Drosophila melanogaster: one gene and its partners. The protein of the gene in region 1 interacts with the protein of each later gene in a pairwise test. Each region holds a gene or a part of one and is shown in the gene's direction. Other genes may lie near its edges.

Region 1 (9,359 bases):
ATTAAACAAGAGAATTTTGTTCAATGCGAAGAATAAATTAAACTTATCAACATGAAAGCGAAATTCAATTCGAGGTAAAAGTTTCATGTCGCATGGATTTATCGGTCTCTTAGGCATCGGTTTCCCTACACATGGAAATTTATGCTAAATATAATTAGCGATAAGAAAATGTTGTGACCCGCTGGGAAAGAAAGGCACAGCATAAGAGTCGATATGGAGTGACTCATTTTACCAACGCGATAAGCGGTCCTTTGTGTCCTGCAAGGGAAATCCTTATCAGCATACACATATGTATGTTTAGTGTGGAACTAGCATTCCTCTTAAAGATTATTAGACAGAGCCTTTAAAATCCTCGAAATTAAAATATTGTACGGCTCTAAGCCGTGGTAGCAGATATTTATAGTCTTTATGTGTTCGTTGGGGCAAATCTAGAATGATAACAGGAACCCGCAATAACAAACATTCATTCATAGGAGGAAGTTAGTAAATTATCAACCCCAGCGGCATGACAGCGAAGGAATCTAATCACAATTTTCTGGCATAACGCTAAATTATATTCTAAAAGAAATCTCGAGTGCAAATTAAAATATTACGGCAGATAAACAGGCGGGGGAAAAGCGGACAAACAGACACCTACATACATCTTCCAGCACCAACTGAGCTGTATCTCTAATTTTCCCGCAAAAACACACCCATTTATCCACAACTCAACTGTCTGTTTGCCGTGATTCACAAATCAAATAAAATATATATATATAATATTAAAAGAGAATAAAGAAAAATGCACGAAAAAGCGTTGTCGTCGGTGGCGAAAAGTATTTGTGCCAGCCATAACCCATAAGATACAATATCTCTTTCTATATATACTATATAACTGTAAAATCCACTTGAAGCCGCAGAGAGCGATCGAATCCGGCAAGCAAACTAAGAGAACAGTTAAGAGAGGCGCGCATTATCTCGCTGCCTTGCAAATTAGGGGCGGTGTTGGGGTTGGGCTCGGGGTACGAAAAACATTGGGAATGGCCCGGCCCGGCCCGGCTCGAGAAGAAACCCCGAACAGTGAACACCAAGCACCAGAGGCCAGAGACGCAGACTGCGGCAGCGAGCTATGCGGGTTCAAATGCGGCCAGCATGACGAATTATTACACACAGTCTCGCGACTGGTAAATGAAATTTAATGTACACTTGAAAAAAAAGGGATTTAAAGTGCACAAACAAAAATCATATTTAAAAAAACATCATATTAACCATTCAAACATTCAACGCTATTAAACAGCAAGGAAAACAGAAGCTTATCTAAATCGCAATGATATCATCATTTAAAATAAACAAGAAATCTTCACAGCCAAAAAGACGTGGATCTACAGGTAATATTATTTTGAAATAACACGATCGAATAGATAGAACTAGATTTTGAATATTACTTTGACATTTGAAACGAAGTTCAACTCTACACCAAGCTGCATAATAGAATAGGACTGATCTGATCACACTACTTTGAATTTAAAAATCTAATATAATAATCTAATTTAAAAAAATATTTTATTTCCATAAAGTGAATAAAAAGTGAATAAAGTGAAGTTATTTACTAACGGAAACGATTCGACAATCAATATAGGCATGTTGTCCGAGCTCAAATCCCACCCTGGCTCACAATCTTTTTTATTAATTCATATATATTTGTTATCAAAACTACAAACTGTACATTAAGCTTTCAGATCTTTCGATCTTGATGTTAAGTAAAATTATCAATAATGTCCTCTTTCTCTCCGTGTAAAATACAAAACACTCGCACACTTAGTCGATTCATGGGGCTGTTTATACACTCACAATGCACATTGATGATGTTGTTGATGGGATTGTGATTCAAGTATGTGCGCGTATATACACAAAATTTTGAAACAAGAAGGGAAAGGCTACCCTTGCAAATTTACCATAAACCTCTTAAATTGACACCGAGAGTCAATTGATGTGAAGCCATGGAATCGATCAACTTTGACAAGATCATCTTAACCTTTTTCCCAATTAGAAAGTGTAACGAAATGTTTTTGGAAGTGAGTGCGAACAAAACGCTCTTCTCTATATCGAATACAGCGCACAAATATCTGTGTCATAATTCAGGGAAATCCACTACGACCAAACGAAAGGAGAAATCAATGTACTCAGCGACGAAAAAGAAGGGCGCACCAATGATCTGATCCCTCTCAGAGGCGTCTTGTTGGCCCAGCCAATTTACTATGTGGTGTAAGCCATATTGGGGATTTTCAAATTTGAAATTTTTAAATGAATACAATAAAATCACGTCAACAAACAAGAAATTAGTGGCCGAGAGCTGTGTGTATATTTTCAGCGGGGGTATACATGACGTGCACGGAGCACGGAGCTATAGTCATATACCTATGCCTCTCCATATGTATTACACAAGCGTTTTTGTGAAAACATCGCCGTTGTCATCGTCGTTTGTCTGCGCTGTATCTGTTGCCCGGGCAGCTTTAAACCGGATCTTTGGTTTGAAAGTACATTCACTTTGCGTCGTCGCCGTCGTCGCAGCATTGCAGCAGCAGCAGCAGCAACAGCAGCGACAGCAGCAGCAGCATAAGTCCAGGCCAGGCCCCAAAGATCCCCACAGCCATATCCATATCCATAGGCTCTGGCTCTCAAAGATCTCCGAACAAAACTCTTGGCTCCCAGCTCCGGCAAACAGCCTTCAAATGACTCGGCTTGGCCCGCCTGTGTTGGAATGGCCCGACTCTCTATGGTCTGCACATGTGCATAGTTCAAATAACTTGGTCAAGTTGACAAGATCAACGGAGCGAGTGTTACCAAGCGGCAGCAGCCAAAGTCGGGTCTGGTTGCAGAGCGGGGTACACCCCCCGTCCTATTCCATCGTGCATTCGGGCCAAATCAAATACTCGCAGCAACAACACAAAATCTATAATAAAAAACAGGTTAACAAATGTTGCCGCAACGCTGACGTCGACGCAGCCCATAGCGTCGGAAGAAACTTGTTTTCCTTTCCTATGCGGCTCCGGGTCTCAAATCTCAAATCTCGGGCCCCTGGTCTCCGATCTCCGGTCTCAAAACGACGTCAAAGCCGGCTTACGACAATCAACTTACATTCACTTCTCGAAACCCCAAAGAGCGTGAAAGTTTCACTAAGAGCACGCTTTTCGGGAGAGAGTCGGATACTATCGCATTTGGATTCGGATTCGATGCCGGCTAACCCGCATGTTACACAGTATCAAGGGTAGATTGGTGGCCAAGAACCATGGGAATACAATATTTGAAATGTATAGTACACGGCTTCAGTCTTCAGTTACAACTACCCCAAACACGTTAAGAAGTCAATAAATTCAATTAAACTATAGCAAATGTAACATAAGGTATGTGATTAGTTGACCTTTGGGAACGAAAAGCAACAACCCCAAACGTTTCCCGTAGATTAACGAATCAATAACACTATTAACACAGGATATTAGAAATACGATGTTATTTTGTAGCGATCTTTTCAAATTGAAAGAGTATATTTAGGCCATTTATTGTACCTTTTCTCTTCTCATTTTAATGAGGAAACATCAATTCATCATATCCTTAATTTAAATTTGTTATTTTTTTTATTACAAAAGTATCAATTGTTCGAGGTTTTCTGTATGAAATTCTGAAATTGCCGGCATTATAAGCGCAGAGAGAGAGAGACAAAGAGATAGACGGAAAGAGAGCGCTATACGTGCGGAAGAGAGACAAAGCGTTGTAGCGGAAAAGAGAGCGACTGAGCGGCGGCAGCGACGTCAGCAGAGGACTGACGTTTCGATTCGTTCGTTCGCATTCACAAGAATTTCACCGACATTTAGTTTAGTACCGTTTTTGGCTGCAGTCGCACTACGGACAGTTTATTCTAATTGTGTGCTACCATCCCATACATCCAAACATACAAATATTATTGCTAAAGTTAACGATATTAACTACACATATTAAATGCTATTATACACGGGCCGAGCAAAGCCATTTCTAAAGCGGTTTACTGCCCATTCACACACAAAACACATCAAAAAATTCAATTAAATCAATTGAAATCGTAATCGAGTCCAAAACACAGTACAGCGAAAAGAAAAATCAAATAAACTAAAATTATATGGTTATCAACGTTGAATCTAAACATACATATAATAACTATTTTCTATGAAAATCGAGTGTTTCGTTTCCGAATCGGGAAAAAAGTTAATAATTCAATTAATGTTAACGCCAAATATAATCCGACGAGAAAAGCGCATGCAACAAGTTAAATCCAGCCGACAGTTGTAAACCAAGTTAGATCCGTACACAGATACACCCCAAATACCACAACCAATACGAATGAATGCCCGGTATACACATACAAACGAAAAAGTCACACACACACACACACACGCAGACTATAACAATGTCAAGTGAAAACATTCTCTGGAAGCAACAGGTTTCCCCTTAATAAGTGTTATAAAGAAGCAACCAACAGTCATCACCCAGAACTGTTCTTTACGGAAAAAAAGTAAAGTAAAAAATAAAAGAGAAAGAGAGGTAGAAGAGCGCACGAGGAATAAAGAAGATAAAGTATAAAGAAAGAGAAAGAGCGGAGAAAGAGCCACTTTTCAGTCAGCAAAATCGTATAAAAATAATAGTATAATACCATAAACTACAAAAATTATAAGAAGACAGTTCTTAAGTGGGTTAAAGTAGAAAAATTAGTGTGACTGCAACCGAGTGGAACCGAATTAAACCATACCACACCATCCCCGAACCGCAATAAAAAAAAAACAACTAAAAGAGTTCTTAGAGCGCATCTGACTAGCGCCAACCATGGAATTCTACGATGGCGACCTCAAAGATATATGGGACTCCGACTTAGATCCGGTAAGTGTTCAAATTACCACTCCCGAGCACAATTAAAAATGCGAAAAGCAACTTGTACCCCCATATTATATCAGTCAGAACAGAACCATTGATACTTGAGAGCTTTTATTACAGCAGGTATGCTTGATATGGGCTATACGAGTATGTGAAAGTTAAAGCCGACAACTCGAACGCAACGATAAGAAAATGTCCGAGATATACATTGGTAGCTCTTATATGTATATTATAGCTCACTAAATTTTATGTGGCAATGCCCCAACTAAACTTGGTGAACTCCTTGAACTTCGATCTTTGACTACAGAGACATCTTCAATACGATTATTAAGTCATTTCGGTGTACATTTTAAACATGCAAGAGTCGTGCTTCCACGAAACGAAATTGCATTTTAAAAAATCTAAAGAAAAACACTTTAATGACCCACATTAAGCTTATCAGTTGGGGAGAAAAAACGTGAACTTATTCATGAGCTGAATTCTAAGTATGATGATCGATTTGAGAAAAGGAAAATGAAGAAACGAATTTCGATCTCCAGGGTCCCACGGAATTTAGCCAGTTTTCTTTTCTTTCTCTGCATATTAAGTGGTTCGCATTTATATGTATATGTATGCGATCACCTGAGAGAATACCGATCACCGACAAACTGGCCTACGATCAAACCTGTCCCAAGCCACCTCATAAAAATGTCCGCTCACCGCACCACCAAAATTTCGAATGTAAAAAAAAAAAAAATAACCGTATAGTGAAAAAAACAAACCAGAATCTAATCGAACTGCCCGGCTTCCAGACATCAGACACCGTAATATACAACACACCCAGAATCACAGTTTTGGTTTCATTTTCGTGGAGGACGTTCTTGGATTGCCGAACCCAATGGCATTACTCAATAGAAAAACAAAAAAAAAAAAACTTTGCCAAATAGATACGACCGATACGACCGAATCAAACAAACCCTCTAGTGCCGAAAGGAAAAGGCAGCTTTCAAGGCTTTTTATCTTGGCAGTTACGTGCTCGTTTTGGGAGAAAGACAATTTTTAGTGACTTTTTGTGTTCGAATATATCAATTTACATGGTTTTTTTTGATAAGCGACTGCGACTATATCTGGCATTCAGGAAACATTTCTGTTCATAACTTAGAAGTTTCGCTGTCCTACAAAGTTGTTTTGTCTTGGGTGGCGATAATGATAATTGAAGTTTTCCAAGAAATTAAAAGAAATTTATCATTAGCGAACGATTTCTGTTTCGGTTGTTTTGTCGTCGTAGTTCCATTCACTATCACCCCCGCAACTTGAACTACTCGTCGTACTGCAATCGTGAATTGTTTCAATATAATGAAATGAGTATGTGCCGGGCTGAGCTTCATTTGCGGAGTACTCATAGATGGAGATGCCGTCGTCTATTGCTTATCGCTGCGGAAACAGTAATGAATACATGTCGTCCGCCCGTCCATTCAGCCCAAGTCCGTCCGTTTCACTTGTTCTTGCTGTTGTACACGGTAAAAAAAAAAAACAGATCAAAATCAAATTTAGTAGATACTTACAATAATTGTATCAGTTTCAATTAATAACGTCGTTTTTTTTCGTACTTAGTGATTTTTTCTTAGAAATGGTCCGGGTTCAAGTATAAATAAATAAAATGTTTTTCACTTTGATAAAAATTAGCTTTAAAAAGCAACGGATTCAATACAACAAAAAAATTGTAATACATTTCAACGTAATTTAAAATTTCTGTCGCTTTCTTTATAACGATAAATTTGTATAATATGTTTCATAAATTTTCGCTCTCAACTTTTGCGCGCTGTGTAGAGGAAGCTCTGCTGGGCGAGCACAAAAGAAAAGAATCTATTACAGTTTGGGAGGAGGACACATGTGGAGTTGATAAGAGGCTGCTATCAGCTGGTCTAAATGCAAAGTAATGACTTTTTTCGCCTGCCTGCCTGCCTGCTGCTGCTGCTGCTGCACTTTGCAGCTAGTCAAATAGAGTATGGCTCGTCAGTGTCATTACTATTGGGAGATAATAAATGCGCGCCGGCGACTACTCGACTTGTAGACAATGTAGCCGGAGGGACAGAAATAGGCCCAATGCCCGGGAAAATGCGCGTGCAGTTTTTATTGGTTTTGTTGCATTGCGTTTTTTCCCGCCGTAAGCGGTACAATGTACCCGTACCCGGGGCGTGCGCTCAATTACCTCATAAGTATCTCAAATGCCTGTGTGTGCCCATAACAAGAAATTATCGGTTTCTGTGGGAAGTCGCCGCCGTAATACCCTCCAAATGGTCTGGGAAGTAAGATCAAGATCGCGGTTAGATATCATCCATGGCTAGATAGCTGAATTCCTTGAAAGATCACATCCAAAAGCGTTTGTTTTGTTAGCTCGAGCCTATCAGTATTCTATTTTGGCATTATTTTAATAATATAAACTATCATTCTAAAGTCTCTTCAAGCATATCAACAATCTTATCTCACCGTATTTTGTAACCAAAAAAATAAAGCAAAAAAAAAAAAAGTAAACTTGCGCCCAGATAAGGCCTGAAATGCCCAATTTTGATTAGCCTTAGCGCACCATTTTTCACTTAAACTGTTGACAAAAATAAAAATAAATAAATAATAATTATGATGCCATGGGATTTTATGTTCTTTCGTTAAACCAAAACAAAAAACTCAAAATAATGACTTGACGGGTCGATAATCAATTATATTAAATTGGCAAGAGGTTTCCGAAAGGCCACAAATTGGAAAGTCCCAGTTGGGGTTAGCTCGTCTTCAGAGAGACCAGTAGAGAGCGATAATGTCACGTGCCCTGCATTTCCGAGATTCCGATCGGTGTTATCAAGAAATCCCCTACCATTTCATTCAGAGATCTTTGAGTGGTTCCCCTGACTATCCGTATCAGTTGGGAGCAATGAAGAGTTGACACAGCAGAATCTGTAAAGCTCTAGAAAAACAGACGCATACAATATAAACATATATTCGCCGATCGGGGGAATTCTGTGAAAATCGATTGGCGGTGGAAAAACCAACAACAATACTTACGATGATCTCTGTGTAACTGGTTATTCAATTTACGAAGAATACAGTTTATGAGGCCAAACAAAGCGTTTCCAGTGCGAATAAAAATATCAATGTTTCAGCTTAACGACTTTTGATTGTGGTCCAGTCATGATAAGAAAATATAAAATCAAATTGTTTCTGTTCAGCGCTAAAATTACTGCTGAAATTTTCACATTTCGTTGATAAGAGTAGCAAGCACATGGAAACAGAATGCCTAATTAATGCGGACTTAGAAACGAGCTTATCTTCTCAATAGCTAAGTAGAATTCGCGCACTTATATAGGCTAGTATGTGAGAAAGGGTTGTGTCTCGAAAGAAAGCGAAAACAAAGCTAAGTTTCGAACTAGAAGTTCTCAAGATCGTCACAGAGCTGGCCTCGAACAAGAAGAAGCTCTGCAATCGAAACAGTAGACTGCCGGAAAAGATTGCCTTGAACAAAATAAATTGCATTCGCCTTCAGAGAAGAATGCTGACCAATGTCGAAAATCATCGACTTACCGAAATTTTATTTGTTGGTCAAAACGGAAAGAGAGAGGTTAAGAGTTAAAGACCGAAACAGAGGGAAAAAGTGCAGCATTAACAAGAAGACCAGAAGTCAGCAACTTTTCACCACTTCCATTGAGATACAAGCGAAAAAGGCAAATATATGTATATATCTGACATTTCTAGAGCTATTCTTTTTTGTGTGCCAACTTTCGCTTATATAAGCAAAATATACAAAAAGAAAAAAAAGTAAAAGGTGGCGGGGGCGCGGGGCATGCATAATGGTATTAGCAATTTCTTTTCGCCCAATTCGATACCCTTTATGGTCTATACACTCTATATAATATGGCCTGTTGCCTGGCCGTCGAATGCAAATGTGCATTTCGTTGAGGTTAGACTGAGATTTTCTAACGGCCAAATGCAAGGCCCGCTACTTAAAATGCACACGAGAATACTACCAAACTCCAGCGTCAAGAAACGGAAATCAGAAAAACGTGCTTGGCAACAGGCTGTGTCGGCATTTTGTTAACTTCGATAGCTTAATGTCTTGACTCTCGGGAGCATATTTGAATAACTAGTTCGAGCTATGCACGTTAGATACTTTCAATATGGTCTATCAGTCGTCTGTATATCTCGTATATCGCGTATACGCCGCGTTGTTCGGCTATACGCTGTACAGCGTATTGTGTATTGCTTAACTTTGACATTTCCAATGAGCCGGAGCGTTGCAATCTGCAAAACAGGTTAAAGCACAAAGCGAATGCAAAGAAACCCAGCGACGACTATTGCAAATTTAGCTCGCTCCAGCGACACAATTTCTATGCCAAAAGTCCAAACATATGGCGAGCCAGCGAAAGAGCAAAAAAAAACCCGAGGCAGAAAAAAAAGCGCGCATAATTAAATTTGTGCCCCCACACACATAGTATTGGTTTACATGTGCG
Region 2 (7,736 bases), on another chromosome or scaffold:
TGGTGCACATATATGTACGTATATATTTAGCCGCATTATTTATTCACTTCTAATGAGCGGGGGCCAACTTGTAAGCTCCCCTAGAAAACACACAATTTTTGGCCACAACCAGAAGTATTTAAAATGGGTTTCGGCATTTTTCTTCCCACCAACGATATTTTTTTAACCGACTTTCCTTCCACCAGAAAGAACATTACACGCAAGTAAAGTAGTTAGAAGGTGGCTTAACTGCCTCCTGTGGGGAAAAGCTGGGGAAATGGGGGGTGGCGAAGGGAAATGGAAATGGAAGGGGTGGTGCACACACAGTAGGTCAGGAGTGTTTTGTAAGTAGCGTGTTTTTGTTGTGGTATGAAGTTGCCTGCCTCGGTTAACTTGGCGTATACTTGATATACACACACACAGCAGGACATACACGTGTGTGTTGTTGTCGCGCACGCATCGATTTTTCCGTTTTTGGTGTATCACAAACTTCCTTATTGTCCGCCACCGCAGGATCGACTTTAAAGGCTGATGTTAAGTAGAACTCCTCAACCTGCCCCGATATATACCCCATAGTCATTCGCCGTGGAAGAAAACCATATTCATATCCATATCCCTGTCCCGCCTTCTCAAATTTCTCACCCATTCTCACCTATTCTCTCATCCTGCGGCCTCGTTGCGCTCTGCCCATAAACATAGTTCCGATACTGGGGATTTTGGGGAGTCTGGTCGCAGGAAAAGTCGGAAAATCACAGGAAATCCAATGTTTCGGGCTTGGTGAAAATTGCGGAAAAGGGGTAAACTAAATCGAGGACTATTTCACTACTACACTACACTCGTTCGCCTTGTGGGGGCGCCTCCTTCCACTATTTTTCTTTCTTTCCGGGGAGTTGGCCGTCCGATCTCTTCGAGCGCGCGCGTTCCGAACCGTTCGAGGCGATTTAACAAACTGAAAAGGAATCCGAACAAACCGAACCAACACCGATGAAATTTTCATGCTCTCTCTGTGGAGGGATGTTGATTTGTTTTTCATCTCAGAATCGAGTGCATGCGCAGTGTCACTCTTCCATTTTTCATTTTCTTTTGCTCTGACATTCACTTGAGTATGGCGCCAATGTGCAACACTGCGTATGAGTGATGTAGAAAGCCTTTTCAAATTTCATATTTAAAGAATTATTTAAAAAATTACTTTTAATTCGTTTTGATAATATTTAAGTAATTCACAATATTGTATACATAGCAACTATTTTTTACTGAATAGTTTTTTAAGTAGAAACACAAGACTGAAGAAAATAAAGCAATCAAGTAATTGATAAGCGCCTATAGAAACGTATAAAAGCAGAAAACTCAGTCCATTTATGTAGTACTACAAAGCTGTTGATATTAAACGCATCTAAATAAATAAAATCATGTTTAGATTGTCAGTCTTAGTTCTGAACTTACTCCTTGTTAGCCATGAATTCTCGGCAGGAACCGCGAAAATTGAAATTCAGCCATTACCTGCCCTATGCAACGGATACTGCTTCCCCACCCTGAAGCCAGTTATGGAGTATGTTGCTATCCACCAGGACAAATGGAATACTTGTACGGAAATATTAGCGAACGAAGCCCGCAAGGATCAGATCCAGTTGAATATCCAGCTGGATGCCTTGAAAGCAGACGTTTCCAACATAAAGGCATCGCAGCTGTCAAAGGATGAGAAGCTGGACAGGATGGAGCGAGAGCAGTTTGCCATGCATGAATCTTTGGAGACCATCAATCGGTATCTTACAGTGAAACTGGACAGAACGAAATTGCAGCTTGAGGCGATCAAAAACACAATGGATTATATGAAGGCCCAAATGGATGGCTATTTCTCAGCCATAAATGGAGTTCAATGCCTACAGCCAGGATTTGAGAAGATAGGCGATAGATATTTTTACATCGAAGAAGATGTTGAGCTAAATTGGCTGGATGCTCAGGCCAAATGTCGTCGAATGGGAGGTCACCTAGCCTCTATAAAAACTAAACAGGAGTTTGACGCAATCGTAGAGAAGCTCGATGATTCGAAATCATACTTCCTGGGCGTCAACGAAAACACAAAAACCGGTGACTTTGTGTCTGCAGCCTCCGGAAAAAGTTGTTTGTATCACGAGTGGGGTCCTGGTGAACCCCATCACAATAATGACCAAGAGCGATGCGTTTCAATCTTGCGAAAACTCATGCATGTGGGCAATTGTACTTATGAAAAAAGATTCATATGCCAGTATGGCATCTAGCCAGTTAAAAACCAAAAAAAATCAAATCATTGTGCATTTTGAAGATTTTGAAAATAAAACAAACACTTTCCATTGTTTGTAAAAGTTGTATTTTTAAAGATTGCTGGGAACGTAAGTACTGAAGTACAGAGCAGTTTTGTTGAAATAGGAAACGATAAAGAGACACTTAAAGGTTCCTACGTTGGTCGGACAAATTTTAAGTAACTTGTAATAAGCCTATTTATAAAAATCAAATGCAATTAGCTAAGTGGCGAAATGAAGAAATGATAATGACCGATTTAATAATCTGATGAGTTTTGGTCCAAGCCGGGCGGTTATTTTCGTACATAAAGATGAGTATAAAATAGTCGAGCAGTTCCGATATTCAAATTCTATGCCTGCTGCTCCTCGTTTCCGTCGGCAGAGGTGTGCCACACATGCCCCATTTCCAGGGCCTGCAACTTGAGCAGTTCCTTTTGGCTGTCCTTGGCCTGAAGGTGGAACACACTTTGCTGGGGGGAGATACAAGTAAATGGAGTACAAAGTTAATGATAGCATATATTAATGCTTTGTTTGGCAATTAATTCAAGGACTCACCTTGACCTCCTTGGTGGTCAGGACATCCATTTTGTCGTAGATGATGGCGTGCAGGCCGAGTTCCTTTAACAGCTTGATGGTATCCTTGGAGTTGTTATCGTCGCCCCAACAAAACAGCACCAATCCACGCTCCTTGGCCAGATTCACCTAAAAGCGTCCGTAGCTGAATGATTCACGATTCGAGAGTGGATCATGTTACCTGACTGGGATCTCGCAGCAGGTCCTCCGTGTGTGCCACAACACCCAGGAACTCCATGGCCACCGCGTGCCACACGGCCAGCTCCATGGAGTTGCCCCTGGGGTCCATATACTTCTGGTATTTCGTCGTCCTGCCGAGAGTTAGGAACATGACAGGGTATCGATTTTGCTTGAATCTCAGAATAGTGCAGATATCTGGATCAAAACAACTCAGTACTATCCTGCGATTCCCTGCCTTTCGTAGGATGACATCCAATATGCAATCGATATAGAGATTTCTGTCCACCACATGCTCGAATTCCTCCTCCATTTTGCCGTCCTCTAGCCTCTGAGACCACTTAATTTCTATGTTGAAACCCACATGGACATCTAGGGCATCCAGGACATCGCATAGCTGCGGAAACGGCTGGTGCTCTAAACAATCATCGTTGTGAAACGAACGCGTCTCCCTGGACAGACCCTCAGCAATGTGATAGACTTTCAATTTCTTCAACTGCTCCAGGGACAACTCCCTCATCGGTAGAGCGAGGAAATCGTGCTCCTGCAGACTGCACTTCGACTTTAGTGAAACATAGATCATGAAATCGTGATACACCACTGGCACCAGATCCTTGCTAAGTTGGACATCGAACTCCACCATGTCGGCACCATGCTCTGCGGCATTCTTCAAAGAAGTAATGGTATTCTCCCGAATAACAGCGTCCTTGGCCTTGAAACTAGTTCCGGAACCACGATGGCCCACATCCAGTCCCGTCCACTTGCTGTTCCAGTATCGGGCATAGCTGACACTCATATCCATTAGAGCACACAGCGATGAGGGCTTCACGATAAGATAACCAAGACGCATCATTCCCAGAGGTCGATGGCCCTTGGCACAGGTTATGGGCAGCTCCAAGTTGCCTTCAGAACGTTTAAAAAGATTGGGCAGCACATAATGATAGCCCAAGTGGTTCGGTGGACCATCTTCCTTGGCCACCCGGGAGCTGTAGCTGTACAAATCAATCAGGTAGGCCGTGTTCTCGAAGTCTCCAACGGTCAGATGGAATATAACCAAATCGGTGGGTCCACAGCCGGTGCCGAACTGCTCTTGACTTCTGATTTCGCACTCGTCGGCACTCAAGGTGACGACCTCGCTAAAGGCAAAGGCTGTGGAGGATTCACCGCCGTTCTCCTTGGTATCATGAGTGTCGTTCGACAAGGAATCCTCCATGGGAGACGAGGGCAGCATGGTATCACAGCCGGCACTGGGAATACTCAGGTTCATGGGCGTCACTTTGACCTGGATATGCCTACGTTTCATGCGCTGCTTAAACGTGAACGGAGCATAAAAGAACTTTAGCTGCACCAGAGTCTCCTTGGTCAGCCAGCCCCGATCCACCTTCTCCTGGCCATTGAACGAGCCAAATATGTCACTCTGATTCTTGGCAGGCTGCTCATCCAACTCCTTGACTATTCGGGGCTGTAAGGAAAGGGAATCTCTTAGCAATGTTATTGGGCTAGCTCCAAACCATGAATCCCATACGAGTGCATACAAATCAAATCCGATCCCAGGTCCAGCTGGATTTTTGGACTCTACTCGTATAGGGTCGGTCAGTACATAATGAATTTGTGAACCTGTAATTGCGTTTCCCAACGGCGGACAATCAGCTGCTCCGTGCCGGGATCGACGGCACAGACCATATAGCGATATTCCGTGTCACAGTGACGCGGAATATAGATCTCTCCTGTCCACAGATTACTATACTCATTGTCCTCCTCATTTTTGGACAAAATAGCCGCTCCCGAGTGCTGCCAGTTGCCCAGCGCCTCGCAATTACCCACTATGGCCAACTGCTCGTTGGGCGCCAGATCCTGGTTCATCAGCACCCGAAAGGTCCACAGTCTGTTGGTGGTAATGTCGCCAAAGATCCGGCGGGACTCCAATCGACTGCCGTTTTCCGAGGACGCAGGACAGGATGATGGCGCAGCCATCGCATCCTCATCGCCGTTATGTGAGGCCAGCCAGTTGTGCATTCTGTGGGGATGGATAATAATTAATATCTATATATAATCCTTAGCTATATACACTTTGAATAATAGTAGTTAGCAGCAAAGAACTAAACTAATTGTTGAAACTCAGTATAATTGTATTGTATTGCATGCGCACAAGTAATTTATGCCAACTCTCTCTTTTTTTCGAGTACTACTGTGCTCGTTAGCGTATACGCACTGTACTTCAATTATTTTCAGCTGCGGTCACAAGTTGTTTATTGTATCGAGCGCAAGTAATTCGAAGATATTAACACAACATTAATTTCACTTGCAGTCCGCAATTGTTTTTGGTTTCCCTTATCAGTGGATGACGTAAATAAATAACTTGTATCACTTACTTTGCGTTGTTGTGTGCTGAAATAGAAGAATAAGCCGAAATCGCTTTGTTTGGATTCGATTTCTCGCTCTCCTCCACTTTCTCTCTCTTTGATTTTCCTAGATTTTCTGTGATTTTCCTACGCGTACACGAAACTATAACAAACGTGTGCAAATTGAGGAGTCGCCCGATTTTTTGATCATAGCAGCTGTTTTTGGTTTTTGCTCACGGATTTCAGCTAACAACACATGATGTTTTTCTCTTTTCGTGGCGGGGGGGCTTAACTCTATAATGTGGATATAACTTTATATTATCTGAACGATTTCAGCGCCGCAGGGGCTTCCGATCCCCTTGAAACTGTGAGTTGCATTATTTTGTTATCTATATATCCACTGACCGATTCTAGCGAGGGATGTGAAAAGTATTTGAATGTCAAGATATCGATAGGTTTTTGATGAAGTAAATATTTTCACAATGCTAAATGCCTAAAGCACTTAAAAATAGTAGATGCCTTTTTAGATATATACTACATACTACTTACTTACACGCACTTAAAATACAAGTTTTATATTTGATATTTGAGCGCATTCTCACAGGTTGGCAACGCGAACAGCTGATTTTTAGGGTGACCGTCTTCCGCAACAGAGTATCTCACAGTTTTCGAAAAGTATCTCAGCAATTTAGGCAAAGTTTCTGAACTTTCAGTTACTACTTAATAAAAAGTTTGTTGGTTGTTTACCTAGCTCAAGAGATTCTTTCAGATTTAATTTAATAAAACCGGTAGCTTAGGATTATAAAATTAACTTTGACTTTATTTAATGTCCCTCCCGCGCGAATGCAGCTTAGTAAAAATGAGTCATAGTGTTCAGATCTGCCTACATTCCAGAAGCTTGCAGTATTCAGTAGACATCAGTCGAGCGCAGAAGCTCTTCGTGATAAGACGTCTTCAATTCAAATTTTTTTTATCGAACACACCATGGAGGGGGACAAGGTAGTTTTTCATAGTTCTGATCTACCATACGAATATTTATACGACGACGAAAAACACGTTTCGCACATGCCGGATTCCAAATTAAGTGTACGAAATATTTTGGATTCAGCTTACGCTTCTGCTGAAGGCAAAATTATAACTAGGAAACTTTCGCGCAGCATTCCGCCGTATCCGCATGCTGTTCGAGTAAAAAATGGCATTCGTGTTTATGAATACAGTGAGCCCAGAAAACAGAGCTACAAATCAAGTTTATGGAAGGAGGCCTACAATGTGAGTAGGAATCGAAGAACACATGCTGGACATTTTACTTGCTTTATTTCAGATACTCCACCAGCGGTTGGATATTGCCGAGCCAATCGCAGCAAAGGAACACGTGAGAACGCAGATACATCCGTGTCTGCACAAGATCAAAGGACTTCTAGATCCGGAAACCTGCATCAAGTGTCCGCGGTGTCATAAGTCCATTTCGTCCACCAAAGTTGTGAAAAGCTTTGCATAGTGACGAATGCAAGCCACCTTCAACATATATATCTATTATAGAGGTTCAATATATGCTCAAATCAACACATGCATTTATATATATATATAATATAAACAAAGAATGCAACAGCCCTACAGATGAATCGTCATTTTCTTCTGTCATTTTGCTAGCTGTAATTAAAAGGGAACGGGAAATGTGCTCTCGCTTACTGATTATAGATAATGACTTTGATTTTGAAATAAGGAATGCAAAGAATACTCATTTTCGTATTCACTTCCATTTTGGCGGACTTTCTTTATCAGTAAACAAAGTGGAAGAAGAAGAAACGAGAAAGGTAAACAAGTCAATACAAAACAGTTGTTTGGAAAATGTGCCATAGTTACCAAGTGCCTGCACCAATTTTAATATCAAAACCAATTATTGAAACTAGTTATATAAGTATTTTTATTTACATTCAATGCATTTATAAATAAAATAAATCAAATAATTTAAGCTTACTAAATCAATCAGCTTGTGACAGCCATCACTTTGATAACGATAGTTGGCAACTCTGCCATCGAACAGCTGTTAATGTTTGCCATTTTGGCGCGAAAATACCAGTGTAACAATTTGTTTATATATAATAGGATTTTATTAAGTTGTTTGTTGGACGCTCGTTTGAAACCAGTATGGATCAGTATCCGGACGAAAACGAGGAGTTCGAGCTGCAATACCAAGACGAACTAGAGCTGCTGGAGGACTTGCCGGACGAGTTTAACGCGTACGATGGACCGAGCACATCCAAACAGGCCGCTGAAAAGCAAAAGGAAAACAGAGCTCCCGTTGCGGCACTAAGAGATAGCACCCGTCTTGGAAACTCTACACTGGGATCGCCACAGCTGTCGCAGATTACCTTTGGAGCTAGCC
Region 3 (9,160 bases), 5.9 Mb from region 1:
AACAGGTAACAAATGTGGCCTGTGAATCGTTGGTCCAGAAAGGTGGGCGGATTAAGTTTGTGATTCAGATTTACACTTAACGTATTCAGCTAACCCAATTCAGCAATGTGCTTACATTTTTTTAATGTACCTTATAAATCAAATATAAGTTTAAGAAAAGGATTTATTGATAAATGATAAGTCTCAGATCTTTAGGATCCAGTTCTTAGCCAACTACTTACTCTGAACACTTTTCCATTAGCTTTTCCTTTCGTGGAAACCATAGCGAGCATATCATTACTTAGGCCAAATATCCACACCTCAGACACGCTCCCAACTTATCTTCGACCATCCCGATCCGGATCCCATCCAGAAGCCAGCAGCACTGATGCCCAGGAACACCCACTTCCCAGCGGGTTGCGGCTTGTAAGCCAATGAAGATCACTAATAAGCCACAGAAACCGCAGGACACGCGTGAAATCATCATCATCATCATCATTACGAAATCGGCAGGGGAAAACCGGACACATTGAGCGGCTATGAGTCGAGTCCAGGTAGTTTGAGTCCGAGTATCGAGACCTCAAAATCTGAAGCATCTGGGGGAAAACCCAGCGAGAACTTGAGGTTTCATTAAGAATTCCCGCGGCGCGCATTAAAGTCTAAACATGCCTAAAAAGTTTCCCCTCTTTGGAACGATCAATGCCTAAGCATCCATGATTAGCATTTGGCATCCGGTGTTGGCCAGGTAGGAATCCGGATCCGGACCCGGACCCGGACCCGGACTCCGAATACTCGACTCCAGATTCCGGAGTCCAGAGTCCAGACTTAGCGCCGTCTGCTGAATTTCCGCTGCTTATGACCGGAAGATTTTCGCCATGATTACGCTTATGATTAAGCTAATGGCGGATATTTCCCAGCCCCTTCCTGGGAACGCGCGTGTGTTTGTCTGCAACTAATCTGCTAAATTGTCTGGCCAAAGAGAGCAGTCGCGGAAAAAAAATTGGAGAATATATGCATAATAAGCCCGCAACTGTGTACGAATCATAAATTTTAATGAGTGGCCAATATAGACTCCGAACCATAACTCTGGAACCACCCCAAAAAAACCAAAACGCAAAACAAGTCGAGGGGGTGCGGGTTGAAGTATCTACAAGTTTTGTGGCCACCGGAAACTGCAGTGTGCGAGGGAGAGAGCGAACTGTAGGCAACGCCATCGCTGCATCCCTTTCCACAGCTGGCCACGCCCCCTTCTCAATTCTGCGCAGTCGTTTTTGCGAGTGTATTTGTGTGCCGCCTGTCTCATATTGGCAGAGAGAAAGAGAAATTGTTGCATATTCATGAGAGAGAGCAGCGGAGCGTGCGTTCGTATGCGTGTATCTGTGTGTCGACGTGTATCTGTGTGCGTTACTTTACTCTCTGCGTGCGTGTGAGTGACGCTTATTTCAAAGATCGAAACCGCTTTATCAGCATTTTTCCTGCATTTCCTTTCCTGTCCTTCCCAACGAAAAAAAATTGTATTTTTTTTTGGCTGCTTAAGTCCTTGGTTCAAGTGTCTGATTAGTTGCACTCCCCTGCACTTTAAAATCAATATTATTCTTGGATTACTCACCCGAAAAAAAGAGAAGAAAGAGTTCTGCCCAAAAAGGGCATTGCTAAAATTTAATAATGGGCACTGAACGGCCACATGTTGGCACTCGTTTCTTCGCCGGCTGCTCCTCATTCTGCAAATGCTTCTCCTTGTCAACAGCGGTGTCAACGTTCCGTTGACTGCAGCAAATTGAGCGTGGCAAATGGGCGAGACACATCTACCAAAACTCGCTTTCCACTTGCCAAAATTATGGGGGGGTTGTCATTTCAGTACGGCAAATGTGCTTGCCAAATTGACAAATTTTGTGCTTGTCAAATAGGCGCCCATCAAGGCCTAAAGTTGATAGAACTGCGATTTGTGTTTAATGATCATTTTAATTGGGTAATTAAGGCATATTTCGGAGTCATAATCGATTAACGAAAGATAGTATTTTTCATAGGGCTATGCAGATTCGCGTTTTTAATTATTGAAAGGGACAAGACCAAGGTCATTCTATATCTATAAGATATGTTAGGAATATATCACGTAATAACGACCATTTTTCACAAAACTGCATTATTTTCTAGTAAACAACTTTTACATTCGAGATAAAAGCAGCTTTCAGCTTTCACTGCATTCGCGGAGAAAATGTTAAGTTGCAGTTTTGGGAAACTAAATCAATATTTAGATAGGTCAAATGCAGTGGGATGGCTGCAGATATAGATACAGATACAGATACGATGGAGTGGCAGAGCAGTACGGATACGGACAGCTGTAGCTGTGCAGGATGGGGGATGGGGGAATCGGACAGACAGGCAATGGCAACTACGTAAGAATAACATGAACTGCGCTAAATGCACAGACGTAGCCAGTAGACAGTTACTCACAAAAAACTGCTCACACCCACAGCGAAACCCATACAATCGCAATCACGGCGCCGATGTCGAAGACGAAATTTGTTAAATCAGCAGCAGCAATCCTGAAACTCGAGAGGAAAAAATGAAAAAAATATGGAACGAAACCAGAAGGAAGCCAAATAAAGTGCGTAAAATGGAGCATACGGCGGCGGAGTCGCCTCATTCGAATTTCAAATGCAGGACTCTCATCCTTTCGCATCCTGCAAAGGATATGTGGCCAACTGGACACACACATGACGATGATTCATAGCCTCATCCTCTCCGACAGATCGCATGCGAAAAATTATGTTAAAACAATAAAAATATTTGTCAAAATAATGCGATTGCGTTAATAGAGCCAAATATTATTCTTGTATCAATTACCCAGACGATTGGGGTTTTAAAGTGATGCAAAGCGCTCGGTTTTTGCAGACAGCCACGGAAAGTACAAATAAAAAATAGTCAGCATACTTTTAAATTATCCAAATATAAATATGTGCGTGTTTGTTTTCCCTGTGTCTAATAACCAGACAAACACCCAGCCCATCCCATTCGGCCTCTCGCGTACACACACTCACATCCACACGCACACTTGCCCTTGCCCAAATAAACATATGAAATTTACTTTAAAGCTGACAAAGTCAATAAAAAATATTGTTTTAATAAGCAGAAAATAGAAATGAAGTCTGCGAAAAAAACGACACTGCAGGACTCAACGAGCAGAGGAGTCGCGAGAGGGAAGGACGAGGCCGAAGGACTTTTTATGTTTGACTCTATCGTTATTTGGCTTGTAAATTGGTTAGTAACCCTTTCGATGTTTGGAAATGTGGAGTGAATGAGTATCAAGTCAAAAGGCGGATAGGAGATAACATAAAAACAAGTGCAATTTTAATATGTTATAAATTTATGGTACAAAACTCTACTTGTATTAACTGTTCAATTATTATTATCTCTGATTTAAACTAATCACGCCAATAGAGCAATTTTTAAATAAATAACTCGCTTCATAATAATATTGCAGAAGGGAAAAGTTTTCTACATATATATATTCATTCTTTTTGATATTAGATACATTTTAGATATTAGAAAAATTTCGGTTTTCTTTTTTAGGACATTTTAACATGAACAACAATTTAATGAATCTTTATTATATAAGGATCCTATATATAGGGTGATACAATAGTTCTTGAAAAACTGTGGAAAACATGTTTGTCTAATATCCTGAGTATTCTTGAAATTCTTACCTTAAATAAGCCTGAAAAATTCCTGCCCTTTGCACACCAAAAAAACCATTGTCAATTCAAGCGCCCGAAAAAGGGAGTTGCTAAAAACTTAATGCCTTGCCCTCAACGAAAACAACCTTCAAACGTGGCCCTTAACTTGAACATCTTGGCGAAAACCCATCAAACTGCAAATTAGCAGGCAACTTTTTGGTCTCTGCCTCTCCCGAGAAGACGAACAACTTTAAGCTGAGATCGAAAGAACTTTATCACTAATTTATGCCGAAGTCATTGGAAGGGTGAGTTAAGTGGGTGGTTGGCTCGTTTGCAGCCCCTGGTTCACCACCACCTCCACCCACTTGTGCCTGTGCTGTTGGCTTTCCCAGGTGCCTCTCATAGTTGATGTGGTTCTCGCTCGCTCTTACTACCATTGTATCTAGTATATCATGAATGCGAGATAGAGGGAGCGAGCGAGAGCGGAAGTGAGAGAGAGAGAGGGAGAGAGAGAGAGGGCGATAGGCCGTATTTTAAGCATTAGTTTAAACAACAAAAACAAGGGCTTGGAAAAGCGACGGGTAGGGGAGGAGTGCCCACAGGACACACACCGTAGCTAGCTAACTATTTTTTCCTATACAAAAAAGAAAGCATGAATGGCGTCCGCTCTCTCTCTCTCTCTCTCTCTCTCTCTCTCTTTCTCTTGGCCACACACAGATACTTTCGACGCAGCTGTGTTTGCGGGCCCACTTCACTTACTGACTGCGAGTGGCAGCCATCGTTGGTTGGCTGCAGATACACATGCAGATACGGATACATTGTGCGGGTACACACAGATACTGTGCGGCAGCGGATCGAGATACTTTCTGGTGCGGGCGACGCTCTGCCGACGCAAACGCTTCTGCTCGATGCGAGCTGTGTGTTATTTCAGTTACACAGATTCAGTATCAGACGTGTTACTATACCGAACGGTTCTGCGCTCGCTCTGCGCTCCCATTTCCCCTGTACTACAAATAGATGCATATATATATATATATATATATAGATTTATATATCTGCACTTATGTGAGCGACTTGTTTAAGCAAATATTATCGCTAGAAATAATAAGAAGCAGCCAGTGGTGAAGTGATTAAGTTCGAGAAAGAAAGCAAGACAAAAGCAAGAGAGTACGAAAATACCAGAAGGCGGCAGTGGAAAATCGATCAGAAATCCGCCGGAATCGCCGCCATGCATACGTTATTCAGCGACCAGAACTCCTTTACGCGCCACTATGCCCAGACCGCAGCCGGTTACGGATCCGCATCCGCGGTGGCGGCGGCCAGCAGCGCCTCCGCTGCAGCAGCGGCACATTACGCATACGACCAGTACTCCCGCTATCCGTACTCGGCCAGCGCCTACGGCCTGGGTGCCCCGCACCAGAACAAGGAGATTGTAAAGCCACCTTACTCGTACATCGCCCTGATAGCCATGGCCATCCAGAATGCGGCGGACAAGAAGGTGACCCTGAACGGGATCTATCAGTACATCATGGAGCGATTTCCCTACTATCGCGACAACAAGCAGGGCTGGCAGAACTCCATTCGGCACAATCTTAGCCTCAACGAGTGCTTCGTGAAGGTGGCCCGCGATGACAAGAAGCCCGGCAAGGGCTCCTACTGGACTCTGGATCCGGACTCCTACAACATGTTCGACAACGGCTCCTTCCTTCGCCGGCGTCGCCGCTTCAAGAAGAAGGATGTGATGCGGGAGAAGGAGGAGGCCATCAAGCGGCAGGCCATGATGAACGAGAAGCTGGCCGAGATGAAGCCCCTCAAGCTGATGACCAACGGCATACTGGAGGCCAAGCACATGGCCGCCCATGCTGCCCACTTCAAAAAGGAGCCCCTAATGGACTTGGGTTGTCTAAGTGGCAAGGAGGTCTCCCATGCCGCAATGCTCAACTCCTGCCACGACAGCTTGGCCCAAATGAACCACTTGGCTGGCGGCGGAGTGGAGCATCCCGGCTTCACCGTGGACTCACTCATGAATGTGTACAACCCGCGGATCCATCACAGCGCCTATCCCTACCACTTGAACGAGGACAACTTGGCCACGGTGGCCAGCAGTCAGATGCATCATGTCCACCACGCTGCGGCGGCCCATCATGCCCAGCAACTGCAGCGTCATGTGGCGCACGTGGCCCATCCTCTGACCCCCGGCGGCCAAGGAGCGGGAGGCCAATCGTCCGGACACTCGCCCACCACGATCTCAACTCCGCATGGTCCCGCGCACGGGGGTTGGTATACCCCGGAAACGCCACCATCGGAACCCGTTCCTCACAATGGGCAGCAGGGCACACCCACCCACCCGGGACATAATAACAACAACAGCAGCAGCGTACTCAACCACAATGGAGTGGGCAACGGTGGCGGAGGCGGCGGCGGTGGCGGTGGAGGATCCTCCAGCGTGCTGACCAGCAGTCCCACATCGGCACTGGGTTTCCGCGACATGATCTTCGAGCAGAACCAATCCTGCCAACTGGACACCGGTAGTCCCACCGGCAGCCTACAATCCGCCAGTCCACCTGCCTCCGCATCCGTGGCAGCGGCATCAGCGGCAGCAGCGGCGGCGGTGATCAGTAGCCACCACCACCACCATCATCACCATGCGGCGCTTAGCGGGAACCTGGGCCAGCTGGGTCAGCTGAGCAATCTGAGCCACTACCGACCGCATGTGGGCCACTACCAGGAGTACGGCATCAAGTACGGGGTGTAAGCCTGTGGGCTGGATTCTCGGCGACTGGGCTGGGCTCTCTTGTATATTCCTGTAAATACATACACCATATAATATACCCAAGAACGAGTCTACACAGCCTGGGGGTGGTGATCCCTCGGGGTCCAGAGTCTGCTATCTCAGATCTTTTTGTTTCCAACTTGTTTTCGATTTATCCGTATACGAAATAATGGGGGACATAGCTGTTAAGCAACCGCATTAACGTATTGTATTGTATTAACTGTATTTGTAATTGTAGCTCGTAATTGTTATCGAATTTAGGCATAGTCCCAATTGTCTGCTACGCAATTTGTGATGGGGTTTTGCTACACAGAACATAAACTTAAATTAGAGCATTTTGTCAATAACTAAAACTACCGCATCGGATCGATCTATCATCGCCTAGTACACTAGCCTAGCCCACGTAAGCAATAATAAATTATACAACTAAATCGTAGCTATAACATAACTATCAAAACTAGCGTACCACCAATATGAGCCGAACAAAAAGTGTATTGAAAATATGTTAAAATATCTCAAATCGTGTGTTTTATTTGGCCCCTTCATATTCGGAGCGACTTTCGCTATTCCATCTGGCCATTGAGCATTTGGCTGGCAAAACAGACTTTTTACCCCGAAACTGGATAGCCCGCACGCAGAATTCCTAGATAAATAATTATTCAAGGCGTGTCCGTTTCGAGCCCCGAATGCATGACTCAACTGGCCAATTGTCACTGGAAGATGGCTTTCTGGGTAGCCGTATCATATCATTTGGACTCACTCGATCAGTTGGCTGCAGTTCCGATGGACTTGCAAACGTGGACATATGTCGTTTGTCAAGCGATCGGATAGAAAACACTTCCCCCCTTTCAGTGGAAATAATTATGCATTCGACCTTTTGGAATAATAAATGAAAATTTCCAGGAAATTGTATGCTTCATATGCACGACTAGCTATCGAAAGGTATTTACAAAAAAGGGTAACTTTAGTATTTATAATATTATATTCACTGTTAGATTGTGTAGTCTGAGCTTCTTTCTGCTTAAAAACTTGAAATTGAGGATCCTTTAAGCCACTTTATGGCAACTGACAAGATCGTATTGTATCCAGAAGAATTATATTATTATTCCCCCCTAAAAGTGTCATTTATAAACGAAAATGTTAGCTTTCTCTAAGGTTGCCGTCCAACAATGGCCAACAAATTACAAATCTTTAGTTAAGAAAACTGTGCCCCCACAGGGAACACTGTAGCTGCTCCTAATTGCCAGACAATTGCCACAAATTGGTAGAAAGTAAAACACCAGCCTGCGCAGCGTGAGTGAGTGCGAATAAATCAGTATGTTGAGCTTATTAGCCAGCGAAGTAACCAGTTACCCAACCAACGCCAAAGATCGGCAGATGAAGCGCCACTGATTGATGGCCAAAATACGCTGTTAACTTGGCGATGACGATGGGCAGCTGGTCATGGTCTCGTCTCGGAACTCGGCTTTGGATTTATTCCAATAAAGGCTGCTCGACGACATTGTCACTTGAGTGAGCGCCGCTTGGCGCCACCGCGGCATTGAGATCGCACTCGGGGAAGAAATCTGGTCATGTGTGTATCTGTATGGCTCTCGATTTGTGGCCCAATCTCCGCTCAGGTGCTTCGCAGCTGGGACGGCTGCTTTCAATGGCGGACACCGCTCGAACGCCAGTCAGTCAATAGGTTTGGCTAGCTGTTCGTAGCCCCAACAATGGAATACCTGGCTGGGTGGCATGTGAATGGCGCTCGAGTGCCAGCCAAAAGTGTGCCAAAGACTGTAGTAGGCCTGAAAGTAATCTTCGAATGGAAGACTCCACTGAGCATGAAGGGCTTGATTTTTGGTCAGATGGTTGAAATTTTCAAAATCAAATGGGCAGCGATATTGGTTGTATCTGCCAATTCAAACTGGAAAATGTAACAAAAAATATTTATAGTTGGAACCACCATTAAAAGCAAACTACATTTAAGAGATGAAAGAAAAGGATTTGTAGCGTACCGAAAAATGTTTAAATTCTTGATCATTAATATTATTATTTACATTTAATTATTGGAATGGATTAGAATGTTCACATATCCCCAAATACTGGCAGCCAAAAAGGGGCATCTCCTATCTCAATAAACTAGGCTATTCGTATCCAAAAGCTCAATATTTTCAATCTGAATATTTGGCTGATCGGTAGGGGAACGAGTTTGGTATGCAAATTCAGCACTTTTGGCAGCAAATACAGTCGGCTGGGCGGTTGACAGCAAAACTGCCATTCGATGCCATCCGGAGTCTCCATTCGGTGTGAAAAGCAACAAAATTAAATGCGAAAACAAAAAGAGTCTGGATGGAAAAGTGGCTGTATGTTTGCTTGGAGTGCAGCCGTCGCTGATTGCGCGGGTGGTCCAGAATTTACAAAACTGAATCGGAATTGGGATTCGGGAATCGGGAATAGGGAATAGGGAATCCTCTGTAGCGCAACGCCAGGCGGAGGACAAGAAAAATAAATGCGATGGCGACAAAATGTTGCACTGTTTGCTTAGCGATAAGGACGCGCCCACATACACACACACACACACACACACACACCGATACGCACACACACAGGCAGGGAAACTCGCAGGACAACAATGCCAAATGCCCAATAATCCAATCGAGCTAAAACGGGCGGAATGGTTTTCGGAATGGTTGTCGTTCGTGCCGCTCACAAATATTGACAGCTGTCTCTGTGGCTCATCGCGCAACCA
Region 4 (7,359 bases), on another chromosome or scaffold:
TTTCTAACAAAATATAAGAGAAAAAGAAATAGGTTATACATTCTTGGCCTCATAAAGTGCTGAATGATAAAAGAATATGTGGTAGTAAAATTCAACAGCACATGTTTATCAAATTTTCAGCTTCTAATTCTAATCTCAGCTTCGTTTCGGCTCGTTTTGACTCCAGAGCTTCTGAAATTGGACATACCCTTAGCATCCACCGCATGATGGGGTATTAAAAACTTGCTAAAAAGTAACGCTCGCTGGTCCCCACGCCGCTAATTCTAATACGTATGACATTCAAGGGTAAAATATTTCATAATTCGCACATTTCTGGGGGATTTGGGGAACGCTAATAATTGCGTGCGAGTGTGTGGGTGGATGAGGGCTCCCATATATTTAGCTGGTGGCGGTGGTATTTGCGGTGGTATTTGTGCTGGGGTCTGTGTTTGGCTTCGGTTGGTTTTTGTTTGTTTACTCAGCACTCAGCTGAGCCGGAGGCCCTCGAACACACACAATCGTACGGCTAATACTCACCTAAGCACACACACTCTCACGCACTCAAATGCATTTTCTTTTCACTTTGGTTTCCCATATACTTTGTGCTGTTTCTTTCTATTTTATTTTTATTATTATTTTTTTTTTTTTTGTAGTACGTTTTTCTGTGTTTTTTGTCGCGCTTCGTTTGCTGATAACACGGCTCGACTGGCGCTTCGTTGATAAACGGGGGGGTGGGCTGCGATTCAGACTGGAAATTGCACGGCAAAGTAAATAGCAAATAGTATATTTACGCGCCGCTATACATTTTTAGTTTCGCCCTTCGAATTACGTTTTGGATTATGCAAAAAGCGGGTTGAGTCGAACTGAACTGATTTCGATTTTATCCTGTGACTGTTTTACAACCGGCGGCAATTCCGTTTGCCGCGAAACGCGCACGCACTTCACTACTGAAAAGCAGCTGCTGCTCCCAGCTGCTGGGGGCGTGGCAGAGGGCGCGCGGGGCGGTGGGTGGGCGGGCGTGTCGAGAAACGGCCTTGCCCGCACGAGCTACGCAGCACGAGTACAACTTTAGCACTGAGCAGATAATTCTGTGCGGCACGGGACCGGACCGTCACTGTCGCCAAACACAAATAACAATCTATCTCGGGGAGAATCTCTCTCTAACTCTCTACTAAGGTGCTCTCACCGCCTGCCCAGCAATCTCTCTGGCTCGGTCTTTCTCTATGCTTCTCCGAAATTTTTGTGGGTGTGCAGCGTTTTGGAGCTTTTGTTCCTGCTCCGGTGCTCCGATTTCGCTGCTCCAGTTCGCCTTGGCGCCCCGTTAACAACTGAAAACCGAATTTATACCGCCAGCAGCAGCAGCTGGGCTTTGTTTACTGTTATTTGGCACAAGCCTCTCGCTCTCTTTCTGTCGGAAAGAGAGTTTTCTCTGTCAGCATTGAGTACAGTGGCTTAATATCCAATGTTGGCGTTTTTTTAAGTTTTCGGTAGTAAAGTACTAAGTACTAAGTGCTAGTTAGTTACTATACAGTATTTTGTATTGAATACGTGTAAAATATTTAGTTGTCAATAAATTTTATTTTTGTTTGCAATCTGTCTGCGGTTTGATCCATATAGCTTTAAAAAGTTTGTAATAGGTGGAGAACAATTTTAATTGAATAACTTGATTTTTGTATTTTTGCCGTAATATGCCCACTGTGCAGCGTGGGATCGGCGCAGGCGCCGGACTTGGCCTGGTCTAGTCTTTTGGCCGTCAGTTGTTGAACTAAAAGCCGCATAGTTGTTGCTGTCAGAGCTTCCTAACTCAATCTGGGGAAGCCGTGACATTGAGTAGCCAAGGGGAAATGTTAGTAGACATTGGAAGTAAGCATAATTTTAGGCGCTGTTTGTTTGACTTGTAGTCAAATATGAGTAATACTTAGTTTACAAGTTCTCCGATGATATAAATCAGATGGTTTTACTTTTTTAAAAAGAGTGCACTTTCTCTGTAAAGCTCATTAATTTATAATAAACATTATCAACCCCATCTACAGCAAGCCAACAAGTCGTATACGCAACGTACAAATTGCATTACTCGTTTATTTGTATAATTTAGTTTTTAAATACTTAAAACATAAAAATACGTGAAAATTTATAAGAGTTGAGATATTTAAAACGGATAATTGAATGTTAAAGAAAATTAATCTCAATTGCACTTACTTATGCACTTATTTTACAATTGTGCGTTTAATTGTCTTTTAAATGTCGAGATGAATGAACAAACCGCCGGATGACATTGCACCCCACTCAATAAAATTCACTTAATTTGGAGCTAGCCGGCTCCGCTGTTGTGGTCTCCGCTTGACCAACTCCCTGCTCCTGCTGCGGATCAGTCTCCCCCTCAGCATCTGCATCCGGATTGTCTTCCGCTTCCGTTTCCGGCTCGTCCTCCGCCACTCGCGTCCCATCGTCACACACGTTGATGGGCTTGCGCTCCAGCAGGGGGCGTGGCAGGCGGCTCAGAAAGGCCGAGCAGTAGGTGCGGATGTTCTCGCACTCACCGGGATTCCGCTTGACCACAAACGCACACGTCTGGATGATGTCATGCAGCGTATTGTCCATGTACTGGAACACCAAGTGCTGCTCCTCCGCCTCGCCATGCGTAACCACTTTCCCATACAAACTGCCGGCGGTGGAAATGAAAAGCCAATTAGTGGAACACCAAACACGCGCTAAAGTTCATCTCACCCAACTGGTTTTCCGGGAATATTCATTTCCACCTCCTCATATTTGCCAAGTACATAGTCGAATCGCTCTTTCGCATCGCTTTCCTCCATCTGTGGAACAGAAAATAAAGTGTGTTTAATCAGGAGGACTAGCAACTATAGATTGTGTTAGTTCAAGTTAAATTGTGTTTTTAAATAGACCAGTATCATACTCACATCTTCAATGCAGTGATTGGGCGGAATGCAAATCGTAAACTAAAAATGCATTAAAAAATTATAGGGTGCAAAAACAATTTACACAAAGTACTTACCACATTGGGTAATGAAATAATTCCCAGGCACAGCAGCAGAGAGCTAAACAAATCCATGGCTCAACCGTTCGCTGATCAGCTAAAAGCGAAACTAACTGAAAAATCAGAGCTGGTCAGCGCATCTACGTTAAATTGCGAAATATGAATTTAAAATATTCACGCTCATTGTTCTCGCTTCGCTTGGATGTAAGATGTGACGTCATGATAATTATAAAATAAAACAAAACAACCAAACAATTGGGAAGTCATAAAGTAAATCTTACACGCGAATCTAAAATTTAAACATATTTTGTACTCAAATAAAATTTTGATACCCGCAAATAAGGGAAATTAACCCAGTGCGAGCTTAAAGTGCAAAATACTGCTATTAACTTTCTGCCTGGTAGTTTTCTGCATTAATATCTGCCTTTATTTTGTGCCTGGCAAATGGAAAGCTGCATAAACTAGCATTCAATTATGTATTATAAAAAGAAAACCTTTGGATTTATGCCATAAAAGCCATGAATCTAAAACAGGGGATTATTGTACCTAAACAAATAGCATATTAACTATTTATGGACTTGCATCCGCCGCACTTAACAATCCCAAATGATTGAGATATTTAATGGACTCTGAAGATGGGACATCCCTGTGATGTACCTTTAATAACTTTAATAACTACGCCGATCAGGGTAAGTTCTGAGTGAAGAATTCGGAGAAATAAGCCAAAAGTCGATAGGAACAGCTGAATAAATTTGGCAATTATTTGTATAAGATAAACGTATTGAACAAGTATATATTTCCAACAAAAGTCCCCACCAGCAGATGACAATTGGTTAGCTATCATCTTCTTGTACAATTATATAGATACAATAGATATCAAAAAAAAACAATCATTTGATAGCACCAGTTGGGTAAATTTGCATATATTCTTTGGTTTTATAAGTCACCTGGAATCATCACAGCGGTATATAAGACCGTGCTACCATCCGAAGACACCATCAATCTGAAAATGAGGGCCACATCGATCATCTTATCAGGAGTTCTTGTCCTGGTCGCTTGCCTATTGAGGAGTAGCGAGGCGGTGACCTGCACCGCCGACCCCAATGTCACTGGATGCATCGACTGCACCACCAGTCCAAGCGATCCGGAGTGCGTGGCTGAGGCCGCTAATACCACTACGAAACCCGCAGATGGAACAGATACCACGACACCCACCACAGGAGGAAGCACCGATGCGACCCCGGCGGGATCTACAACGCCTACTTCGCCAAGCGGCACTGTCACTCCAGCTCCGACCAGCTCACCTAGTGACTCCACGTCGCCCAGCGACTCCACACCCACTTCAAACAACGCGGCTGCTGTGGCCAGAAGGAGGAGGAGGATGGCGGCCAGGAGGCGCGCTCAAAGGAGGAGGCGTGCACAAAGGAGGAGGGACCAGAGGAGGAGGAGGGCCCAAAGGCGCAGGAGGCAAAACCAATCGGGCTAAAGCCAACATTCGATTTTATAAAATTTAAAAAAAAATACTAAATAAAACCTATATTCAGCATCCAACAACAAAAATAGTTTGAACAAATTTTTAAGAGTTCGCTGTGTAGAAATAAGTATATTGTCTTCAAACAAAGGAGAAAAAATATTATTACAAAAATTAAAAATATCTCTTCTAATTGGTACTTTAACGACAACGTGAAGTATATCTCTTTGAAAAAATTTTTATTGGGTAGTTAATAGTTTCACCTCAGAAATACATAATAATTAAAACTTTATTTTGATAAAATCATTTGTTTTATGTATAAAGAAAATCTATTTCACAAATAAGTTCAAGTCTATTTCTATTCTAAAATAATTTTGAAACCATTTAAACTAATTGTATTGTACAACAAACAAACACAACCTTCAACCGAAAAGCAAAAAACTATCCACAGATGGCATTGATCATCTTGTGGGTACACATTCAATAGCAAATAGTGTACAAGGCAAATATTAAAGAAGAAGTCATCCATTTCTAATAACATACATACACTTAGGAAAAAATTCACCATTTTTGACAAATTTTAAGTCATGTATATTTCGAACTGATGAGAGTTTTATCATATATGAATACAAGTCAAACCAGGCTTCAATCAGATAAATTAAAATATACTCATTTTCTATTCTTGAGTAAATAGGTGAAACTAGTTCATTTCTCAACTTGGATTCACAGCCGATAGTTTACGATTTGGCAGCAAACAATGTCTAATATTTTATATGATCGTATAGAAACAGCTGCGTACATATTAGCGAAAATCGCTAGATAGGAAGAGCGCCCCTTGACCTCGATCAAGCCACTATAAAAGCCTAACCAAAATCCGACATCACCATCAATCAACAATCCCCAATCAACAAATCCACTATGAGAGCAGCAACTATCATCTTCGCCATTCTCGTCCTGGCAGCCTGCCTATTGAGGAGCAGCGAGGCGGTGACCTGCACCGCCGACCCCACCGTCACTGGATGCATCAACTGCACCACCAATCCAACCGATTCCGAGTGCGTGGCTGAGGCAGCCGCCGCCACATCCACCACAACCACAGTGGCTCCAGCAACGAGCACCGTTGCGACCACCACCACTGCGCCAACGACATCAAGCGGAACCGGAACCGGAAGCCGAAAGATCGTCCGCGTTAGCAACCTGCGCTACTCCGTCAACCGTCGCATTCGGATCAACACCACCGCTCGATCCACCAGCTCCAACGGCCGCTCTGGCAGGCGCTCCACCAACACCAACAGGAACCGCAGGCGCAGGAATAACAACGCCAGGCAAGGCAACTCCAGGAGCAGTCGCGGAAACGTTCGCGTAGTAGTTGGTTAAAAATGGTTAGAATGTTTACAATTGTAAAACTGTTTATCAAATAAATATATTTGAAAATTAAATCAAACGTTTGTCTATTATTGTAAAACTGAGAAACCCAATCGAGTGATTAGATTTTATTAAAATAAAATTACAATTGAAATGGTTGTTTTCCTATTTGAATAAAGATATATACATATGTAGATATTTCATGATGATATAAATAAAAAATTATATTTTTATAAGAACCAATGATAAACTGATCTTTTAATTTAATAATATCTCTTATTTCAAATTTACAAGTCGACGTCTGATCTACTAAAATAATGGGTAATTCAAGTTGAGTCAAAAAGCGTCATCCAAAAAGTATGCTATATGTCTTGCCTTGAACAGTTCTACGATTAAGCACTACTAAAAGATCAACACAAAATCACAAAAATTAAATACCAACTCAAGAAAACCTTCTAGGAAGGGCAGTTTGGAATAAAAAGGGATCTTTCAGAAATAGCGCAGAATTTTATTTAACAATCAAAGCTGTAATCTATTTGAAAATGAACAACACTTGACCTTTTTCCAGGGAAACGTTCACTGACCACCATTTGCGGTGGGGGACTTCAAAGTGGTACCACCAGCCACGCATTCCGAGTTCAAGGGATTCGCGATTCAAACGACTTTGGAGCTGAATCCCTCGGCTAAGCCTTCCACGTTGTTGGTGGAGAAGGTCATGCATCATGGTGCAGTCGATGCATCCCACGACGGTGGGACCGCTAAGATGCTTTCCAGCAGGCAAGCTGCCAGGATCAAGACTCCAGAATAGAAGATCAAAGCTACTCTTGCAATGTAGTTGATTTAAGTGTTAGCATCGACATTATATATGTATATATATAATATATATATATATATCATATAGCATATCAATTAAATCGAATTATTGACACAGCTGTTTCGACTTTTTGCATTGTTTTCTCCTGTTGTTTGATGAGAATTTAGAAAAATATGGTCTTACATTTTTTTTTTTGGCTATAAAGCTTTGTTATTAGAAGAGAGCATTATCTACTTCTCCAACAGGTAAATACATTTAAACCCAATGTTACCGTTTTTCTTAACTTTCATAACACTGTTTCTACAAAATAATACCTATCTTGACCTTCTATTTGTAAGACAACAGAGTTATATAATAGTTAAATTACCAATTTTTAAAAAGTTTTTATAGTTTTTTTTTAATGTTTTTAAATTTTTGGTTTCCCCTGCTCAATAAAGTTCAAAGTTCTGTATGTGTGATGTGTTATTTCATTGGGTTAAGGTGAAGAAATCGTCAATAACTCCTTAATATTATAACGTACCCAAATGTACCGTCTATAATTTTAAATGCTCTATATGCACTGGAAATTTCTCTGTAACATAACGCATTTTAAAATTGGTAAGATTTTGTTAGAAGCTAAATCCCTGTTATACCCAGCCAAAAATTGAATACTTCCCAGAAAATTGGATATAAAATAAAATTTACTTCTTCAAATCCATATCTTGTTGAGCATTTTATTGAATTCCGCGTACT

What was found.
Region 2: the proteins of CrebA (region 1) and CG31955 interact in a two-hybrid assay, tested with the Drosophila melanogaster proteins (one large-scale study listed by BioGRID).
Region 3: the proteins of CrebA (region 1) and croc interact in a two-hybrid assay, tested with the Drosophila melanogaster proteins (one large-scale study listed by BioGRID).
Region 4: the proteins of CrebA (region 1) and Jig interact in a two-hybrid assay, tested with the Drosophila melanogaster proteins (one large-scale study listed by BioGRID).

The regions. Positions count from the first base shown.
Region 1 is NT_037436.4:15,531,569-15,540,927, forward strand, and holds the start of CrebA (Cyclic-AMP response element binding protein A), read left to right. Parts: upstream 1-3,826; 5' UTR 3,827-4,833; coding exon 4,834-4,887; intron 4,888-9,359. UniProt on the Drosophila melanogaster protein: Transcriptional activator. Binds to fat body-specific enhancers of alcohol dehydrogenase (ADH) and yolk protein genes. BBF-2 may play a role in fat body gene expression. It binds the consensus sequence 5'-T[AC]NACGTAN[TG]C-3'.
Region 2 is NT_033779.5:3,711,381-3,719,116, reverse strand, and holds CG31955 (uncharacterized protein), read left to right. Parts: upstream 1-6,250; 5' UTR 6,251-6,334; coding exon 6,335-6,619; intron 6,620-6,671; coding exon 6,672-6,848; 3' UTR 6,849-6,891; exon of another isoform or gene 6,892-6,963; intron 6,964-7,048; 3' UTR 7,049-7,236; downstream 7,237-7,736. Other genes in the region: lectin-24A, read left to right, coding at 1,389-2,237; CG2818 (uncharacterized protein), read right to left, coding at 2,609-2,728, 2,814-2,960, 3,013-4,470, 4,626-5,024; cutlet, read left to right, coding at 7,499-7,736.
Region 3 is NT_037436.4:21,471,919-21,481,078, reverse strand, and holds croc (crocodile), read left to right. Parts: upstream 1-4,599; 5' UTR 4,600-4,884; coding exon 4,885-6,411; 3' UTR 6,412-6,946; downstream 6,947-9,160. UniProt on the Drosophila melanogaster protein: Required for the establishment of head structures.
Region 4 is NT_033777.3:14,556,996-14,564,354, forward strand, and holds Jig (Jig), read left to right. Parts: upstream 1-3,939; 5' UTR 3,940-3,986; coding exon 3,987-4,463; 3' UTR 4,464-4,526; downstream 4,527-7,359. Other genes in the region: CG14854 (uncharacterized protein), read right to left, coding at 2,266-2,641, 2,707-2,795, 2,901-2,939, 2,996-3,052; CG14851 (uncharacterized protein), read left to right, coding at 5,367-5,825; CG8087 (uncharacterized protein), read right to left, coding at 7,359-7,359.